Medicago truncatula: one gene and its partners. The main gene of each other region encodes a partner of the protein of the gene in region 3 in a complex. Links are inferred from orthologs where the notes say so. Each region holds a gene or a part of one and is shown on either strand. Other genes may lie near its edges. The genes, in order: RAN GTPase-activating protein 1, RAN GTPase-activating protein 2 and WPP domain-interacting tail-anchored protein 1.

What was found.
Region 1: WPP domain-interacting tail-anchored protein 1 (region 3) and RAN GTPase-activating protein 1 share a complex: the UniProt entries of both Arabidopsis thaliana proteins name them as parts of the ran complex. The link is inferred for Medicago truncatula from reciprocal best matches to the Arabidopsis thaliana genes WIT1 and RANGAP1.
Region 2: WPP domain-interacting tail-anchored protein 1 (region 3) and RAN GTPase-activating protein 2 share a complex: the UniProt entries of both Arabidopsis thaliana proteins name them as parts of the ran complex. The link is inferred for Medicago truncatula from reciprocal best matches to the Arabidopsis thaliana genes WIT1 and RANGAP2.

What each region holds. Positions count from the first base shown.
Region 1 is NC_053042.1:35,966,278-35,973,735, reverse strand, and holds RAN GTPase-activating protein 1, read right to left. Parts: upstream 3,013-7,458; 5' UTR 2,664-3,012; intron 2,073-2,663; 5' UTR 2,062-2,072; coding exon 460-2,061; 3' UTR 140-459; downstream 1-139. UniProt on the Arabidopsis thaliana protein: GTPase activator for the nuclear Ras-related regulatory protein Ran, converting it to the putatively inactive GDP-bound state. Plays a role in spatial signaling during cell division.
Region 2 is NC_053042.1:51,000,429-51,007,348, reverse strand, and holds RAN GTPase-activating protein 2, read right to left. Parts: upstream 2,640-6,920; coding exon 2,585-2,639; intron 2,468-2,584; coding exon 855-2,467; 3' UTR 588-854; downstream 1-587. UniProt on the Arabidopsis thaliana protein: GTPase activator for the nuclear Ras-related regulatory protein Ran, converting it to the putatively inactive GDP-bound state.
Region 3 is NC_053048.1:5,940,535-5,947,585, reverse strand, and holds the start of WPP domain-interacting tail-anchored protein 1, read right to left. Parts: upstream 3,031-7,051; 5' UTR 2,804-3,030; intron 2,315-2,803; 5' UTR 2,270-2,314; intron 1,977-2,269; 5' UTR 1,934-1,976; coding exon 1,489-1,933; intron 905-1,488; coding exon 1-904. UniProt on the Arabidopsis thaliana protein: Together with WIT2, required for the nuclear envelope docking of RANGAP proteins in root tips.

The DNA of each region.
Region 1 (7,458 bases), on a different chromosome or scaffold from region 3:
GTAGCAACATTTACTTTGCTTGCAATTGGTTTATGTTGTTTATAGACTAAGCCTACAATGCACAACATCAAAAGTATGATGCAGTCCTTCAGTAATAATCTGCATATGGAATCAATTGCAAACACGACCAGCAATCAAGTGTAATAACCTGCTTATTGAATCAATTGCAAATATTTAAGCACGAATCAGCAATCAAAGATAATAAATTGCCAGCAAAAGGCACAATAAAGCCCAAAAAATTCTACCATTCATACCATTTGCCTATTTCTTGTCTTGCCAGATATATTAAGAGCATATATCTGGTAAACTTCAATAAGCCAAGTTATGGAATCGAAAATCTAAAATACAAAGATTAAAATGCTAGCTGCTCAGTATAAAAAAAGTATGTCTATTGCAAACATAATTGGCCTACAAATTAATCTGAAGTAGCAATCGCATGACAGAGTCCTATGAATCTTCTTAAATCTCAAGGCCTTTCAGTTTTGACTCCAATTCATCATTATCGGAATTTTCTTCAGCCTCTTCATCAATGTCCTCTCCTTCAGGATCATTCTCATCCAAAGGACCCAGAATGTCAGGTGAGTTTTTAAATATGTCCTTTAACTCGTCAATCCCTTCATCAGAAATGAAGTTAGCATTAACATTCAGCAACTTAAATCCAGGTTTCTGGACAACAGCTTCTGCCAACAGTTTGGCTCCTGACCATGTGATCAAATTTGTACTCAGATCAACTTCACTTAATTGGCCAAGACCTTCCAGCGCCTTACTGATTAAACCTGCACCTTCATCTTTCAATTCATTCTCGGATAAATTTAACTTGGTGAGGAACTGCTTTGATGATATACATTCAGCTACAGAAACAGCAGTTTTAGCAGTAATGTCATTCCCAGCCATATCCAAAATTTCCAGTGACGGTGCAGATTCCTTCAAAGCATTAGCAAGGGCTTCTGCACCATCGTCCTCTAAGTTCAAATAACTGAGGTATATCTCTGTAAGATCAGCAAATACAGGTATAACTTTACTTAGAGCAACTCCAGCTTCCACACCAAACATGTTGTCACGCAAATCAAGCTTCTTCAAATGCGTGCAAGCCCCAAGCGCTTCAGCAAGAGCAACACCACCTTCAGCGCCTACTCTGGTAGATGAACACCGAAAATCTTCCAAAGCTGGGGAACGTTTCATAACATCAGCTATTGCAAATGCTCCTTCATCTCCAGTCATGTTATTATGGAAATGAAGAACCTTAAGCTTCTCAGTGGAAGGGATCAATTCAGCAACTGCTTTTGCAGCTTCCTCTGATATACCATCATTCATCAAATAAAGCTCCTCCAAGTCATTTTGTGATTTAAGGAGTGCCCGGAATGCTCTAACCCCCTTTTCGCCCATGGCATTATTTGACAGGTTAAGATGTCTCAACACAGCTCCTTCTAGTGCAGAAGAAAATATATTCATCACTTCAATAGCTTCTGCTTCTGGTCTCCCAGCAATAAAATCTGACAGATCTACCTCTTTCAGTTGATCTTTAATTGATATTAGCATGGGTTCAACGACATGAGCAGCATCCAAACCAAAACTTCTATTACTGAAACATATATTTGTAAAAGAGTTTGGTCCCATCAATGGTTTTAGAAGCTCTGAAGCTTCCTCCCCATCAATGAAAGCTCTGCGACCCCCAGAAATGTCAAAAACAGTTTCAACAGCAGCATCACCCTTTTCAGATATCAACTCCCCATTCTCCTCCTTCCCTCTTGGTCCTCTTTTCAAAACCTCCAACATAAGCTTACTCGATTCCTTGGCATAAATTTGCACAGCAGAACTCCCATCACCATCGGGCTCCTTTTCAAAGTGTTGGGTCGCAGTCACAAAAGCTGCATCCTCAATTTCCTTTGCATCCTTCTCAGCCTCATCTTTGTTAAGAAGTCCATACTTTCTAGAGAAAATGGACGGAGTCGTCAAGTTCCTGACCATCCGTCCAACCAACATCGACCTAGTACTCTGACTTGGAGGCCACAACTTGATTGAAAGTGTTCGGTGTTGGTACGACGGTACGGTAGAATCCATATCAACAGAACCTAGAAACAAGTATAGCAACAAATTTAAAAGTTTTCTGAATCATAATCTTCACTAGTGCCTATAAAACAACAGAAGACATAAAACTACTATCTAAAATTCATTAATTTGCTTTCTTCTTCAATAATAACTACAGTATAAAATCAAAACCAAAGAACCACAATATGCATACATAGTGATGTATTTTAACAGCACTAGAGTTATAATGACTACATATTTCAGTAACCCCACGGATTAATCATTCCTTGGGACCGAATACGAAGTTTTCAAAAATGAAAATGACTACAACTTTTAAATAAACCCTAAAAAAATTAATTTGTACAAATCAATAACTACCAAGGTTTCAAAAAAAGGACCGGTGCCGGGATTGCGGCCGTTACAAAACGGTATCAGCAGCCACCGTGACCGTTTTTGGATCTTTTCACGCCGAGAACAAAAATCACAGGAAATCGCCGTTACGGACTCCGTTACAGACTTGAAAATTCAGAAATTTGAACAGGAGAAAAGGAATCGAATCTCATATTAAAAAGGAATCTGAATCTTATCGATAACAAGCAGAGAAGAGAAAGAAAAGAGGGGAATAGATCTAGTACCTGAGTGAGAAATGAGAACGCAGAAACCCTAGAAAAGATAAAGTGCAGTAGCAGCAGAGAGAAAACGAAAAAGAAGATTTTTGAAATGATGATTAAAATTAGTTGGAGCCTTTTTATGCTGGAGCGGGGAAAAATAAAAATAAAAATTAAATTTAATGATTTTAATGTTTGAAAATTGAAAAATATGATAAAGATATTTGGATAGGGTAAAGCGTGCGTGGAAAAACTGGAGGGAAATGATTGAAAATGAAAAAAATGTGATGGATGGATCAAAATCAAAATCTCAATCGAATCCAGCTTTTTTTAAACGCCACCATTGAAATTGAAATCGAAATCCCAAAGCGTAGATTTTCCGATTCCGACAAAATGATGGTTTTAGCCTGTATACATCTGAATTTCTTCATGCATGACGTCACAAACCCTAATTGTGGTTTTATTTGGGCCTATACTTGGGCTTTGGAAAATCTTTGACTGGACTAGCTTATTATGCTGACAAATGCTGAAAAACATTTCTCTTTCCCCCTATATCTCTTAGAATCCCTAAATACACACATTCGGTTCTTTTTAAAAGAAATATACATCCGATTGTTTTTTTTTTTTATGAAGGAATACACATTTGATTGTAATCTACTAGGATTTTTTTTGTAAAAAAAAAATACTAGATGTATGTTTATTTTGGAAGTTATCTCCTATACGCGTGTTTGGCAGAAAGAAAAAAATAAAACACATCTGGTATATAACTATCATGTGTATAAATGGGCCTCAAAAGAAATGTTAAAAACTGAATTATGAAAATTTAACTTCATACCCCATTAATCCACTCAAAACAAATTATTTACCAAAAATATCCTTTTAGTTTAACAAATATAAAGATTTTTTTTTTCAAAAAACACGTATCTTCTAAATTGACCAAAGATCCCAAAAGAAAGAGCAAGTTTTTAAATTTTTCCTAAAGTTTTGCTTTTTATAAGGTTTGTTTGAATATTTAAATTGGATATTTGTTTTCAAAACTTTTTGGTTTCAAACAAAAATTTTGGCTTGAATATTCAAACCAAATCTTTAAAATTTCAAAACATTTTCCCTTGCATATCCTAAAAGAATGGTATTTGACGTTTTTGAATTATAAAATATGAATTGTATTTATCCATTTTTTATCATATTCAACTCAATTTATTAAAATGTTATAATTTACAGTGGCATACTTTAAAATACACAACATGATTTAAAAAATATTTTTAAACTTTTTTTCAAAACCCTAGCTTCTTTTTTCTCTGCCCTCTCTCTACACAAAACTTACTGCCGCCGCCCAAAAATTCAATATATATTCTTGAGATGTAGAGTCCGTTTATGGTGGTGCGACGAGCGGCTTGAGCCCTCCGCACCACCTACCTCCAGATCTGTCGATGGTCCTAAACTGCAATTTTGACGGTGGACCTCTGGTGGAGTTGTGAATTGTGTTACGGCTCTGTTTCTCTGGCCGTTCAACACTGATTGCTTGAGTTTGTCTTTTGGTATGTGGTGGTTGATACCAGATCCGTTTTCTCTCTTGACGGTGGGTGAAGGTTCTGTTTGCTCGCAACGTAGGTGGTGATAGGTCGGTCATAAAAGTTGTGAGGCATATGATATGTTATGGTTTAGATGGATTTTTGGCTGTGTTGGTTTATGGTGCTTCGTGGTGGTTTCCGCGGTGGTGATGATACTGAGTCTTTTGTGGAGGTGCTTGTGGTGGTTTTTCGTGGTGCTCGTGGTGGTTTTTGTGGTGATGCTTGTGGTGGTTGGTCGTGGTTATGTTTTTTGAGGGTTTTCTTCTATGAGTTCGTTGTTGATGTGGTTTTCAAATACAAGGGTGTTTTTGATAGATTTGATGGTTATTTTTACGCTTGGTGTTGGAACCCTATAGATTGTATCCATCGTCGGTAGGAAGGGGAGGAGTAATGGAGGTTGCTACTGTTTTGTTTTGTAGCGGTTTTTGTTGTTGTTTTGTTGCTGTTGTGGTGTGTTTCTGGGCTGATAGGGTGCTGACAACATCTGGCTTTGTGTTTGTTTTGCATCAGGCCTGCTATTTTTTTTGTTTTGTAAGGGATTAAGTAGAGCTGTCAAAACGGGCGCCCCGGCCCGTTTAAGCCCGGCCCGACCGGGTCAAGGGCTTTTAAGGGTCGGGCTAAAAAGTCCAGTTTGAATATGGACTGGAAAAGTAGAACCCGAGCCCGGCCCTTTACGGGCTAACGGGCCAGCCCAAGCCCGTTTTTTTTTTCTTTCTTTTATTTCATTCTGAACATAATAACATTTTTTTAGTTTTTTTTTTTAAAAAGCAAGGGCGATCAGACTCTCATTTTGAAGTAAAATGGACCTTTGTTCACTGCCTAGAATGAAAACCCATTCTAAGCAAAGTGCTTGTCCGTCTAAGCAACAAAAGTAATGTTGTAATTTTCGTTTTGTCATGAAAATACACCATTTCCTTAATATAAGAGCAGCATGATGCATTTCAGAAAACAAATAAATGTAGAAACTACTTTTACCAATATATCTGAAATGAAATTCCTACATTATGCTTTGATCACCTTTTGTCTTGTGAAAATGCTTGTTCCACAGACTACAAACAATCGAATTGAAAATGCTTGCAGTCACCATGTAACATACACAGACCAACAAAAAAATAATAAAAAGTAACCCACTTGAATTTTTGGCGGGCTGCCCGAGGCCCGAACGGGTTACGGGCTTTTACGGACCGGGCTAAAAAGCCCTAGAAAAATTCGGGCTCCAATTTTTCGGCCCAGGCCCTGCGTTTTATTCGGGATTTCGGGCCGGCCCATACGGCCCGCCCCATTTTGACAGCTCTAGGATTGAGGATTGGCTCTATTGTCTTTAAGCTCAATCTGTTTCTGCTTTTTATGCATGGCTAGTTTATTTTTGGGGTTGTTAGTAATTTGGAGGTGTTCTGCCTATACAAGACGCATTCTTTAAAGCTAAATTTCTAATACAATAAAATAGATGGAGAATGAGTGAAAAAGGTGTGTCATCCCTCTCGCATGCCCTCCGAAAATTTTGGGAACAGAAGATTACGAGGCAGTGAAGGTGGAATCTTATATGTACAATCTCATATCCAAATCGATGAGGAATACAATATGGAGAGGATCAACCACCTTTTGACCATTCATACTAACCCTACAATAAGGCATAAATGTCTTTGTTGATCTTGTTTGTAAAAGGTCAATTGTGAAATTATGACTTCGTAACCATCCCAAAAGAAAACAGAGAAAAAAAAGAGAAGAATAAGGAATATGAGTTTTAAAATGAAGAGTACAAAAGAAAGGAATGGTATTTGAGGGCAAAGTTCAACAAATATTGTTTTTACAGTCAATTCAAACGTGTAATACAATCAATAAAACGTGTATAACACCGCACATTGACCCAAAAACCGTCAGACCTTCCAAATGTCACTGACGAAACCACTTTCCAAATTCTAGAATGTTTCAGATTATATGATCCAAATATATGTCCAATATTAGTTCATATTATATAATCCAAAATTGTCCAGATTATGTTAAATCTTGTGATTTGGATGGTTTGACACATTTCAAATTGTATAATCTAAATTAGTCAAATACATGATTTTTTGTGGTCCACTTTGCACCAAAAGTTTTCATGACCTATGACACATATGGACTTCTATAAATTGGCGTGTTTGGTTCATTTGAAAACCACACGACACAACAATGAACACTTATCAAATAAATATGAACACTAAACTAGCTGTAGAGTTTACTATAGCGGAGAAACTGAATCTACTTATGGTCCACATTGATATCACACTGTGTGACTTTAAAGGTCAGCTAGACCAAATTAACAGTCTCAACCACAAAGATACAAGAACGGTAGATAGTGTTGAGTATCGTCGTCTGTCAATCGATTCAGATGAGTGTGTTCATTTCACTTAGATGAATCTTCAGAACGATGACGAGGTGAGTACCATGTTCTTTATGTTTGGTCAGTATGGTTCAAAGAGACTGATCAAGTTTCAAGTTTCATTTATTAGATCTTTTTCTTGATATTCAATCGATGACCTACAGAGAAATCAAGGAATGCATGGATATACCATATGAATATTTTAGTTGGTTGTTCCATGATGTTGTTTATATTTAAGTATTATGTTTTACTTTTTTGTATTTTGTTATTGAATTATCTTGTTGAAATTATGTAGTTGAAATTGTTATGTTTAATTTATGCTGTTGTTGTAGAATTTGATGGCAGATTTACCTATTTATTATGTTCTAAACACGGTTTGAATTATATAATCTGAAACAAATCAAACCCCCAAATCACAATTTTTAACACAATTTATGCACGTTTCAGATTATATATTCTGAACCAATACTAGACATGATTTTAGATTATATAATCCAAAATATTCTAGATTTTGAATTGTGATCTTACAAGCAAAGTTTGAGCGATTTGTGCTTCTTTTTTGACAAGTTTGGTTCATTTTACACATTTTGTTTGACTATAGTTACAATATAGAAAGGTGTTATGGGTATAAATAATCTTGCATTCTTCTTTATTTTCATTGCAATTTCCCTCTTCTTTTCTTTTTCTCTTTTCTTTCTTACTTTTCCTTTCATGACGAATATGATGTCATGGTCGCTGTTGATCAAAAACTTCGATCATTTGTGGGATTTTTGTAGGATGGTCAACATAGACGTTTGGTTATTTATTTTTGATTTTTCTATAGGTCTCAGATTATATAATTTGAAATAACACAAATACACTACGAATTATACAATATGAACGGGACTGA
Region 2 (6,920 bases), on a different chromosome or scaffold from region 3:
TTGTTAATTGTCATTGGCTTACCGTTTTTGAAAAGAAAAATGTGCCAAAACCATTGTTTTTTGGTCATGGCCGGGGTTTGAATCCCGAATCTTTCATATTTTATGCATTGTCCCAACCAACTGAGCTAAGCTCACAAGGATGATTGTTTAATTACCGTTTCTAACACTGGAATATTTTCTTATTTAAATTTTGAACAATGTTAAAACATCCTCTCAAAAAGATGTTAGTAAAACACGACCTTTGTATTTGCTTTATATATTAAAAGTAAATCGACAACACAATGCGGTGAACACTACAATGTCAGATAGTTTTGCTTGGAGGGTATTGGTACCCAACAAAACTCAAAAATACCAACAAAAAAAAAATCAATTCATTTTTATTGTCTGTATTTTTCAATACATTTTTATTTTTATTGTAAATACAACAATAAGAACTAAGTCTTATTCCCCTGTGTAAGGTCGGCTACATAAATTAAATTATGCCATAATGTTATGACTTTATTGAAAATAATAGAATAAAATTAAACATATTCTAATCAGTTTTGGAGTATCTATTAGAATAGCTCCAATACTCGTCACAGCGATCATGTAAATTGACCAACATAACACTGAATCTGATGATAACCAGGTGTTAATACACTAATGACGACAAGATTACGATATCTAGTCCAGAGATACCCACAATGGTTAGACCACCAAAATTAAAGTATCACCAAGATACGCATAATGATTCAATATTTTGGTGAAATGATGCATCTTGACGGTTACATATGATTCTGTGAATGAATAAACTGATACTAATGTCATAAGAGTTACTTCTGCAGTAGAACCAGTAAGCTACTAACAGTTACAATTCAATCAACTACAAGGTTCTTCATTTTGGATTCCAGTGCATCCTCCACACCACCCTCTTCGTCAGATTCTTCATCACCGTCTTTTCCATCAGGGTCATTTTCATCTAATGGACCAAGCTTGTCCGGAGATTTTTCAAATATAACCATTAACTCTTTAATACCTTCATCAGAAATGAAGTTTCCGTCAATGTCCAGACGTTCAAAATCAACCTTCTGCAACACAGTGAGAGCCAATTGTTGAGCCCCGTCTCTGGTTATTCTGTTGCAACTTAGATCGATTTCCTTTAATTGTGAAAGGCCTTCTAAAGCCTTACTTATCTGGATGGCACCTTCATCTTTGAGTTCATTCTCAGAGAGGTTCAACTTGGCAAGAAACTGCTTGGCTGCAAGGCAGTTTGCTATAGCAGGAGCAGCATCAACTGTAATATTGTTTCCACTCATCTCGAGAACTTCAAGGCGAGGAGCTGATGCCTTAAGAGCATTAGCTATAGCAATTGCTCCTTCGTCTTCCAAGTTCAGGAAGCTCAGGTATATCTCTCTTAACTCTGCATTCTTGGCAAGAGCTTTACTCAGGGAAACCCCACCCTCTACACCTAACATGTTGTCTCGCAAATCAAGCTTCCTCAAATGGGTGCAATCCCCCAAAGCATCAGATAAGGCAACTCCACCTTCATCGCCTATCCTTGTGGAGGAACAACGAAAATCCTCCAAGCAAGAAGAACGCTTCACAACCTCAGCTATAGCACGTGCTCCTTCATCTCCAGTCATATTATTATGAAAATGGAGAACTTTGAGCTTCTCTGTGGAAGGAATCAACTCAGAAACTGCTTGAGCAGCTTCTTCTGAAATTCCATCATTCATAAGATAAAGCTCCTCCAAACAGCTTTGTGATTTCAAGAGAGTTCCAAATGCTCTAACACCTTTCTCACCTAAAGCATTGTCAGAAAGGTTTAAATACTTCAAGACACTGCCTTCTAGAGTAGCCGAGAATATCCTCATGACATCAAGTGCTTCTGCTTCTGGTCTTCCAGCAATAAAATCTGACAGGTCTACTTCTTTCAACTGGTCCTTGAGGGATATGAAAATCGGCTTAGCGACTTCTGCTGCTCCTAATCCAAAACTTCTGTTGCTGAAGCATATTTTAGTGAAAGAATTACCCGGCTCCTTCAGTGGACTCAAAAGTTCTTGAGCCTCCTCTGCTTCAATGAAAGCCCTTTGGCCTTTAGATATATCAAAAACAGATTCACGAGGGACAGCAGCAGCATCAGAAATCACCGCTTCTTTGACACTGTTCTTACTAGGACCCATTTTAAGAAGTTCTAGGAGGAGCTTACTGCATTCTTTGGCATAAAGCTGGACTGCAGAACCTCCATCACCATCTGGCTCTTTCTCGTAATGTAGGTTTGCCGTGGCAAAAGCCTTGTCCTCAATTCTTTTAGCATTTTCTTCAGCCTGTTTCGGGTGCAAGGTTTCATACTTTTGAGTGAAAATGGATTTCGTAGTAAGATTGTTGGTCATCTTCTCCACAAGCGTCTGTCTAGTGTTCTGACTAGGAGGCCATAATTTGATTGAGAACGGCCTGTTCTGCGAATTCAGCTCCATATCAATCAAACCTGCAAAAACGATTCATGTAAAGTTATAAGTCATCATGATTATAAGTCACACACTAAAAATAAGTCACACGCTGAAAAAGTATCTGAAAAAATACGACACATTTTCGAAGCCCTTGCCCACTTTAGATATCAAACTGAAAATGTATCTAAATTCTGAAAGGTTATCAGTCATCATGACTATAAGTAACACACCAAGAATAAGTCACACTGAAAATGTATCTAAAAAAACAAGACACATTTTCGTCACTTGTTAAGTCATCATGATTATAAGTCACATATGTAAAATGCAGCTATGGGAGGTTAGTGTTAAGGACATAATACACAGATAACAAAAATTAATTTACGAATTGGATATAAAAAACTGCTCTGAAAAGTAGCTCAAGAAATAGGAGCAACGACTATAAAAACCCATCAAATAAGTAATTGAAATAATAATTAACAGATATCATACTGTATAGGCTGAATTGATTGCAATAATAAAGTAGGGCCTGTTTTTATTTCTCAATCATAATCCGTTGTTGTTCATGTGATAATCATAGCTAAATGAAACTAAGCAAAACAACAAATAAAATATGATGGTGGAAATTGGCATAGTCACACTTCAAGATGGTGGAAAGATATTATGACCATTGATGATGGTGATGGGATGAATTGGTTTAATACGGAATTGGCTAGGAAAGTTCATAATGGTTTAGATACTTATTTTTGGAAGACTAAGTGGAGGGGTGAGGTGGCTTTTTGTAACAAATATCCAAGGCTCTTTGCTATTTCAAACCTTAAAGATGCTAAGGTAGGGGAGATAGGAGTGTTGTCCGGCACGGGATTAGATTGGCTTTTCACTTGGAGGCGAAGGTTGTTTGTTTGGGAGGAAGACCTTCTTGCAAATTTATTACTCGATCTTCAAGGTTTTGTGACTTCAAATGGGACGGATGAGTGGTGGTGGAAGCTTGAAGAGGATGGTAGGTTTTCCGTGAGTTCTTTGTATAAGAAGCTAGAGGTGGTGGCGGGTATTGAGAATGAGTGGGGGTTAGAGGAGAAACATGTCTTTAGCCAAGTTTGGAAGAGCCCGGCTCCTTCTAAGGTGGTGGCGCTCTCTTGGAGATCTTTGCTTAATCGTATACCGACCCGTTTGAATCTTCTTTATCATCATGCTCTACCTCCAAATTTAAGTTTGCATTGTGTTTTGTGTGATTTGGAGGAGGAATCCACCAACCATTTGTTCTTGCATTGCAATGTAGTTAGCTCGGTTTGGGAGAAAGTCAAAAGGTGGTTTGAGATTGAATTCATTACACCGCCCAATTTGTTCGTTCATTGGCTTTGTTGGAATGCGGGGAGGACGACTAGTAAATTGTTTCAAATGGGTAGGCGTCTTGTTTGGCATACCACCTTGTGGGTTATTTGGAGGGCTAGGAATAACCGTATTTTTAACAATGTGGTAAGTTTAGCGGAGGAATTCTATTGTTAGTTGGATTACTATATTCGTAGTTTAAACTCTGACCATCACAAAAAAAAAAAAAAACATTAATCACATGAGAAATTTAATATTATGATTAACATACTCCCTCCAGAATAAATATAAACAAAAACAAAAGGTAGTTAGAAAATTGATATATGTGGATTAAAATTTTGCCACACACATTAATTTTTCAACCATCATTTTTGTTTATATTAATTCATTTTAAAAAAAGAGTTGATTTATTGTCAAAATAGGTTGGAGTGTCTCTAATATTTATGTCTTTACTTAATTCATTTTCTTTTCTTTTATGTTGTTGATAAATTTACTGAATTGATCGTCTATAAATCATGTATTTTGAATTTCTAGAAATCGTAATGCGATTGTGTGGTCACAATGGAATCATTTAAGTATGTGCTTGTTTGACATTTCACCACTGCTACCGTGTGTTTGAGAGCCTTGGAAATTGATAATAGAGAAGCTACAAATTGTATGATCTCTCGAAACGCACTTTTACAACAAATCCATCCTCAATACAAACATAGGCTTAAAATTGCACCAGAAAGTAGAATGGCTGATTGAAACGATAATTTAAACATACTTTAAACTTTCACCATTCTGGAGAAAGAGTGCACAAGGAGGGAGTTCTAATCAGAATGCTAAAGTGATTGGCCACAAAAATGGATTTGACACTGCATTTTTAAAAAAACTATAAGAAGGCATTTAGCACATGAGTATCAAATGCTTATATTATCTCATTTTCTTTTCTGTTGTTGATAATTTTACTAAGAGCACTGCTAAATACAGAAAAAAATGACCACGAAGGTGTCCCGAATAAATTGTCATGTTAAAAAATTTACAAATTAAATGGTCGTGATGCATTCACGAAACATTTTCTTGGGAGAAACAACATTAGCCTTTTTCTGAATTTATGTCTTTCACAACTCCATACTTACATTGTATATCATCGGTAGACATGACAACAAAACTCGCCCCCGCCAAACCCGATCGTCCCCGTCCCAAATTTAACGGGGAAAACCGATTTAACTAGATGCGGGTGTGAGAGAAATTTAGTTTTCAGTACGTAGGCGGCGCCGGGGGCGGGGGATGCTTACACCCGCCCCACACCCGTTTTTTAAAATTTACTTTATTAAGTTTTATAATCTTATTTCCATAAGCACCAACCAATTTTAATATATCATTACTCTTTAGAAACATATTTACTATAATTATTTTGCTCTTTTAAATTTTTTTTATTAAATATTTAATTATTAATATAGTTATTATTTTTTGTTGTTATGAAAAAATATGCATTTTTTTAAATATTTTATAAAAAATAGAGTTTTTGCGGGTGGAGCGGGGCAGAGAGACCTGTCTCCATTGGGGGCGGGGTTGGGTGTTCAATTTTTACCCGTTATGGTTTGGGGATGGGGGCGGGTGCATGGAAGTGGGGACAGGGACGAGGATGCGTAAACCAGCCCCCGATCCGCCCCATTGTCATGTCTAATCATCGGATAGAACTTGTGTGCTATTGAAATACCAATGTTATATAACATTGGCCAATGATGGCATGCCACATAACCGATGTAAGAAATGACTAAAGAGGAAAGAGAAAAGATATACATGTGAAGTGCTACGTGGCACACCCTCATTGGCCAATGTTATATAACATTGATATCCCAGTGATACACAAGTGTTATCCGTATATCACCGTGACAAAGGCCAAATTTTAGGCTATCATCCAAGCATTGCCATACTTCTTAGCGCTTACATCATTGCCACCCTTCTTAATTTAATTGAGACTTTCAGATAAGAGAAAGTCTTGCACGAACATAAGCTTTTGGACACACCACACATAAAAATATATTTTATTTTATTTTTTTGATAAGAAAAATACATTTTATTTAATTATTTAAAAAATAAATATGATCTAATTATTTTCTCTTTCTCTATCTTTTCTCAATTATGTATGTGTGCCTAAATTTAGTGACCAAACACTTGTGCCTAAACAAGTATTTTCCTTCAGATAAATAAGTGGTGTGGTTCACTTTCCGGTGGCATTTAGTATGGGAAAAGGGAGTTGTTTCCCACCATAGGAAAGTTGATTATGTCCATTGGATTAAATGAGTAACAAATCTTTATCCTACTCTCTCATACACTATATCGTTGTTTTACACTATCTTCCACCATCTCTCTTTCTTGTTTTTTGAATTCAGAATCATAAAATAACTTCTCAAATCCTTCTCCTAAGCTCATTAACACAAGCTTTAAAATTCTCGCCCAAAAGAATTAAGAGTTGCAACTTAATTTTAAAAATCAAAACTGCAACTACAGCGTTGTCTCAGGCGGTGGAGGAAAGACCATTGGTCCTATCCTAAATATATACCTGCTTCTTAGTTTGATTGCCTTTTTTAAGCTTTGACTCGACAAAATCTAAGCATCACACTTTTAGCATGGAGTTACCACTGATTATGGTAGATTAAAAGAATGAATTTCATCATTTTTATTAAACAAAAGCTTAAAAAGAGCTAGAGTGTCTTTGGATAAATAGCCTAATTAAGCACTTATAATATCTGAGTTTTCCAGCAGCAACATGGTGGTGTGTGGTGGTTGCTGTATCTGATATAGTGGTGGTTGTGGTATGAGTGTGTGGGACATGAAAGAGAGATGGTGGAAGATAGTGTAAAACAATAATCTAGTGTTGAGAGAGTAGGATAAGGATTTGTTTCTCATTTAATCTAATGGACATAATCAACTTTCCCATTGTGGGAAACAACTCCCCTTTTCCAGGCTAAACCCCACCTCACTTTCCTATTCGTATACTATTCAAACAACTTTCATCCCCACGAGGCCATGCTTCAGTTCTCATAACCCATGAGAGATTGTAAATAAGAGAAGGTAAAATGAAATAAAAGGATTGTACCAAAAAAATGAAAATAGATACTAAACCTGTGACGAATGAAAAAATTGATGTGATAAAAAAATGATGAAAAGTTGGCT
Region 3 (7,051 bases):
TCAGCTTTAGAAACCTTTGACTTAAGATCCTTTATCACATGTTCCATATCTTCAATTGTGTAACACAGCATCTTTTGCTTCTCTTCACTAGCTCCAGCAGACGCTACTGCTTGTTGCAGCTGTAAATCAGTCTCCTTTAGCTGCCTTTCAAGTAACTCTACACTCTCGGATGTGATACCACAGTCTTTTAAAAGAGTCAGCTCCTTGTTGAGTTCTTCATTAGTTTCCGTCAATTTTTTACACTGAACTTCTGCAGCATTAGCTTGATTTTCTGCATTTTTTGCATTTTCTTTCAATTCTACGATAAGGTTATCCATGTCTCTAACTTGAGAACACACAACGTTATACTGTTGCTGATATTCATCGGCAGAGACTTTCACATTCACTAACTGGCATTCAGTTTCTTGTAGCTGCTTCTCAAGTGAACACACTTTGTCACCTAAATTGACTGCTTCAGCTGCGCTGCTTTCGATCTTTTCCAAATTAACGTCTCTACTTTTCAATTGCTCTATAGAAGTTTCCAGCTTATCTCTAAGCTCGGATTCACTTTTTCTTAAACCGACCAAATTGAACTGAGAAAGCTTGAGTTTAGCCAACACTTCATTTGAAATTCCCTTCAGGATCTCACGCGCATTGTCTGCCTCAAAAAATCTTTCCCAAACTTCGATCGCTTCTTCCTCTGTTTGAATTAACTCGTCTTCTAAAGAAAGGATCCTCAGATTTAGCTTTTCTTCAATTTTCTTCGAGTCATTGAAATTCTTCTCGAGATCTATTTCATTTGCCAAAGATTTCTCAAGCATCCTCAAAATGTTTCTATGTTGCTCAGTTGTTTGCATGTTCATCATGTTGTTTACATTCGAAGTTTGATCATCCTCTTGGACATTTCCATCGTCTTCAACATTCCCTGTCGTCATTGAAAATCCAACACATAAAAAAGGACAGCAAATATTTATTAGAAATGAAAATTTAGGGTTTAATTCATATACACTATCAGTGGAAAGATTTTTTACACTGTCAATCAATCATAATAGTTAGAACATTAACATTGTTTATATTTAATCATAAGTTCATAACCACTTACGAAGTCACACTTATGATTGGTTGTGATTTACTAAGAGTCTAGATTTTTCACACTGGGAATGTATCAAAATTAAACTCGCAAAATTATTCAGATAAAAATATTCTCATTGGTCGGTTCAAATGTTCAATATGTTCTTCACAACTCTTTCTTCCTTTTCTTATTTTTTAAAACAAAAAAGAAGAGTTCCATTAATGCAAAATAGGCTTTTGCAATTCATATTGCATAAACATTATACACACAATATCACATGAAAATTAAGGTGGACCCCACATAAAAGAATATACCCTATTCTAACAAGTAAATGAAAAGACAGGAACATGTAACAGATAAAAACAACAAGCAATCAATGTTCAAACAACAACAAAAACAACATATATAAATATGAATCATTAAGATCTTCTACTTACCATTCTCTTCCTTCTTATAAGAAGACAAAGTCCTTTCAAAACTAAAAGATTGTTTCTTAATCTCATAAAACTGCTCCTCGGATTCAACCAACCTCTCTTGCCAATTGTTCAAAGAAGAATCTCTCTCTCTAGAACCAGAAATCTCAGCATGAAGTGTATCCAAAAACAAACCCAAATCTCCAACCTCAGAATCCATTACCCCGCATAACAAATCAAACTCAAAACCCTTTAAAACACAATCCATATCGATGTTTTCTTCATCACAAACTAAACCCTCTAATTCACCTTCCAAAGTTTCCAAATTCATCATAAAAATACTTAAATTTGAAACTTTCTCAGAGAAATATACCACACTCATTTCAAAATCCACAATAACTTCTCCATTATCTGAAACACCTCCAACATCAACATCACTGGTATTATCTTCAACACTTTGAGTTTCCATTGTTCTAATCGTAAAAAAACTTCAACAATTGTTGTTATGGATCCTGGAAGAAAACTCAAAAAGTTAAAACAGAAATGCTTTATCAACAACCAGCTTTTCATACAGCTGGGACACCTGGTTAATCAAGTGTAAAAATGTAGTTAATTCAGCTAAGTAGATGATTAATTCAATTGATCACCTGATCAAAAAGTTGTGGTTAATTCATATAGTTGAATTAACCAGAATTTTAGCCGTGAATTGAAATAACAATCTAGTTAACTAAATTAACCACACTTTTTAACGTGATTAACCAGGTGTCTCCGGGTTTACAAAAGGTGAGTGTCTATGTATAATAACCTGTATCAGTGTCGTGTTGGTGTCGGACACGCCAATGCTACAGTGCTGCAAAAATAATAACTTAAACTAAAATGCAAAAAGGTGAAAGTTTAACTAGTTGAGCCATGAAGTTAAGTAACAATCTAGTCAACTAAATCAACCATACTTTTTAAAGTGATCGACCATGTGTCGCGCGAGTCAGTGTATAAAATATGTATGATAACCTATGAAGCACTAACACATATACGAACACCAGACACCACCGACACCGATCCCAATAAAAAAAATTAAAAATAATAATTAATTGAACGTAGTCACAACCGTCAGACACCAGACACATCTTTGATCAGAAGTGGCGGTAGTGTTGGTGCTACAGAGACATAACTAAACATAAAATGCAATAAAATGAAACTTTAACTATTTGATCCATAAAGTGAATACAGTACAATATACCGGAAACACCAAAAAAATTAATTGAAAAATTTAAAAAAAAAATTAATTGAGATTGCAAAGTTAGAATTAAAATACGAAAAATTGGAGAGAATGGAACAATACCAATTGAAGAATGAAATTGGGTTGATTTTGGATCGGTTGGAGTGATGAATATTTCAGACAACGGAAACAGTTGCGCCTAACTGAAAACTGAATCGGAGATCCCCAACACTTGCAGCTCACTGTGAAACGCAGCGTTTTGCTATGAAGTGGTGTTATTTTTTTAATGTTTGTGACACGTGGATGAAAAAGGGGGTGTGCCGTGTGCCTCTTGTGTTCTCAACGACGTTTCTCTCATCGGTTACAATGACTAATCTCTATCCTAAAATATGTGAGACACGTAAGATAGATTCTTCTATGATCTCTATCAGGAAATATATGTGACGCATAAGGTGTGTTCTCCTCTTCCAACTGAATTCGGGTTACCATCATATTTTTGTTACTTAAGTTTCTCTTGTCGTTTATAATGACTAATCTCCGTCGAAAAATATGTGAGGTATGTAAGGTGAGTTCTCCCAAAATCTCTGACGAAAAACATGTGTGATACAGAAGATGAGTTTTTCCATTTCAACCGGATTTTTTTCTATACACATTAACCAGGAATCGGATTTTTAACCACATGATTAAGAAACTCAAGTCCTTACCGGTTAGACCAATTCATTTCGTAACAAAGGGGGCTTCGGCAAATAAAATGTTTTTTTTATTGAAATTGTGAAAATTTATGTTCGCAACAAATGTTCAGATTTATGAAGTTTGTTTTTCTTTTGCACAAGAGTTCAACTTTCATGGTTATGTTTATGTTTTTTTTTCATAACCCATGAATGAGATCCTAATAATTCAAAACTCCGCTAAAAGATAATTAAAATTGGGTTGAAAATTGTTAATCAAAATTTTAATTCTTGTTAATTCCAATCTATTAACCATTTAAATTCAATCACTGCATTGAAATTATGTTCATAGATATCTCCTTTTCCACTAATGTTTTTTATATTAAGGATTAAATATTTCTTAAAAAAATTTACAAAATTTAGAGTTTTCAAGTTTATAGTTTGTAGGGGTGAAGTACATATGCAAGAAAATTGCTCTTTAGCTTCCATTTTTTCCTCCAAACACCCCAAAAAGACCAAAATAAAATACATTCAACGACACTTAAGTACTTCTCGGGGAAACTTATGAGAAATTTGAGAAGTCTAAAGAGAAATTTCCTAAATGTAAAAGTACAAGGTAAATTTTCCCAAATTCTTAATATAATAGCAGGAGAAATTTGAAGTCTAAAGAGAAATATGATGGTGCAAATAGCAGGATAAATTCGTACAAAATCAAGAGTTTTTCCTTACATATATCCCATTTAGCCTTTATTCAATTGTTGGCCCAATTTCACAATATTTCTCCTGCTATTAGCACCATCATATTTCTCAGCCTTCGTCATTTATGCTCCGTGACAATACGTGATATCGCATAAGTATTTTCCTTTAGGATAAAATTTAGGTGTATTGTCCCCGTGAGATTAGCTCAGTTGATAGGACAATGCATGATTTAGGTGTATTTTTTTTGTCATTTATGTAGGATTCGAATCTCAGACACCACACTTCTCCACATTTAAAATATGTGAGCTTCAGCCACTAAATTACTTGATCTCAAAAAAATTAGGTGTATTTTTGTAAGATTCTTAACTAAAAATACAATATTTATGGTTATAATGAAAGTATGAATTTAAGAAAATCATGACTAATTTAGTTAAGAATTGTACGAAAACCACGTAATGACAAAGGTGTAGCTATGGGCATCAAAATGATAGCTTTAGTTACACCAAATTATTATTTTAATTGTATAAATAAGTCTTTTTTACGTTTAGCTACCCGAATAAAAATATACCTAGCTACTTCATATATGTTTATTTGTAATAAAAAAAAAGAGAGAGATATAAGATATTAAAAAGATTATCACTTGTTTAATAAATTTATTTCATCTTCTTTTGTCACTTTTGGTATCTTAAACAACTATACGAAGAAAACTTTATTAACAATAAAAAATTTAAAGACAAAATTATATAATTTATTCTTCTTATATAGTTAAAATTATTGTGAATTTTTTATCTTATAGATAATTAAATTTTATATATTAATTTAAAAATATATATTTTATTTCGTTATATTCTCTCACTCGTAAAAATTTGGCTTGCATCCTCACTGCCTATCGAAATGTATCTAAATTTTGTCTTTTTTCAACAATGTTGCAAAAATATAGGTATTAGGTAGAGATCAAGCATTAGCTCATAAAAATTGTATTCAAATTAAAATAATTGTGAGATCATAGATATCTGTTAAAAGTGTCCTATACTTGTTAGCATAACTCATAAAAATTATACACATGTTAAACTTATAAAATTTTATCTTCTTAACAAATATCATAAATGTATTTGTTAACATTTTCCTTATTAAAATTCTATAAAAAATAAGACTCCGTAAAGAAGATCAATGTATTGGCCAACAACAACATAATATTTTGATGGAAAATTCTATGGTGAAGTCATGAGAATGACTTTTCTAGTGAAGTTAACACTATAACATCAAAAGTGTTGTGAGTAACACCCCACTGTTTGTACAGTGGCATCAAAAGTTCAGTCTTCATAGTATCATCAATTCATCATATTAACAAAAATACACTTAATTTAATTTTATCCTACTTTGTTTTAAGTGTAACAGCCCACAAAGTGTAATACTTAAGACTATCGCATGATATCAGCAACTATGTTTGCATGTTAAAGATGCCAACGATAAAATAGTACATGTAAGTCTAAGATGTTGCAAGCATTACTAGATGAATTACTATTGATCATTAATGAGTAATCAAAAATTTAAAAATGAATAAATCATTAAAGATTAAAATTAACTTTTTCAAAAATGTCAGTTTCATAACTGCATTGTAGAAGCTCCCAATATTGATTCCTATAAAGAAAACAACACAATAATGATTGATCTTATTAAACTAGTTTTGCACAGTATCTGATTATTATTAGAGGGAAAACAAACAAACATAACATGCAAGTGGTTACTTTAAAAATCATTACTTATAAATCACCATTATTTTAAGCCCCTGCAATTTCAACCACAAGTTTATAATAAAGAAAATTTGATATCACGGTTCACCACATATATTAGGTGTAGTAATTTCATGGGTAAACCAAAACAATGAGTGTTATTGGCTGGTCGTGATTCATCAAGTGTTTAGATATGTCAGCAAATGCTGACTAAGATTGTAACAATATATTTTCAAAACATTTTCATAGAAAATTAATTTAAGTTTGATGCAATTGTGAGGAGAAAAAGAAGCATAAAAATTTAGGAAACCTATCACTAAACATAATACAAGATAAAGAAAAAAAAAAACATACGGCTCAATTTTGGAGGTTAGCTATACCTACCTAATTTAGGACATGTACATTTGAAAGAAAATGATTTTTATGATACAAGATAGTTATTGTAAGTTTATATTATCATATATCTTTAGGTATGTGAATGAAGTTATATGTGGATCGAACTCATTGGGTCACAAACGTCACAATGTGCCTAAAGGAAGAATTTTATACACTCACATTCTTTCTAGGACATGAGTCGCAAACCTTTTAAAAAATAAGCATTGATATTTTTATTTTTGTTTCAAAAATTAAAAACATATTATGATGATATTTACTTGTTAACTATTTTTTTTATTTAACATTTTTTAAAACAATGATTAGTTGTTTACCATGATTTGTATGTATAATATTTTTGTTACTTTGCTATTGAAAATTTATACGAGACAAAGTGTCGAGCTTACAAAGTGGACATACTACTCTCTATTTTTCATTTACAAAGTTAAGGAAATTCCGTTAGAGTCTAGGATAGAAAAATGAATGTTGAACAATATATAAATAAAATGAGTAATATAGGTTGTTTACCATGATTTGTATTTATAAAATAAATGTGTTACATTGTTGAAAATTTATACAAGACAAAGTGTTAGGCCTACAAAGTTATTGAAAATTTACATGAGACAAAGTGTTAGACCTACAAAGTAGACGTACTACTCTCTAATCGTCCATTTATAAAGTTAAGGAAATCCAGTTAGGTGGTGGATAGAAAAATAAATGTTGAACAATATATAAATAAGATGACTCATAAAATATGATGCTAAATTCTACTTTTACAATTGTTTTTGGTCAATTAAATTATCGTCGAGACTCTTCTTATAACCCGACAATTAGGTAGCTACTATTATGCCAACATGTCGATGATTTTAACGATAAGAGACCATGGCATTTTAAGCAAG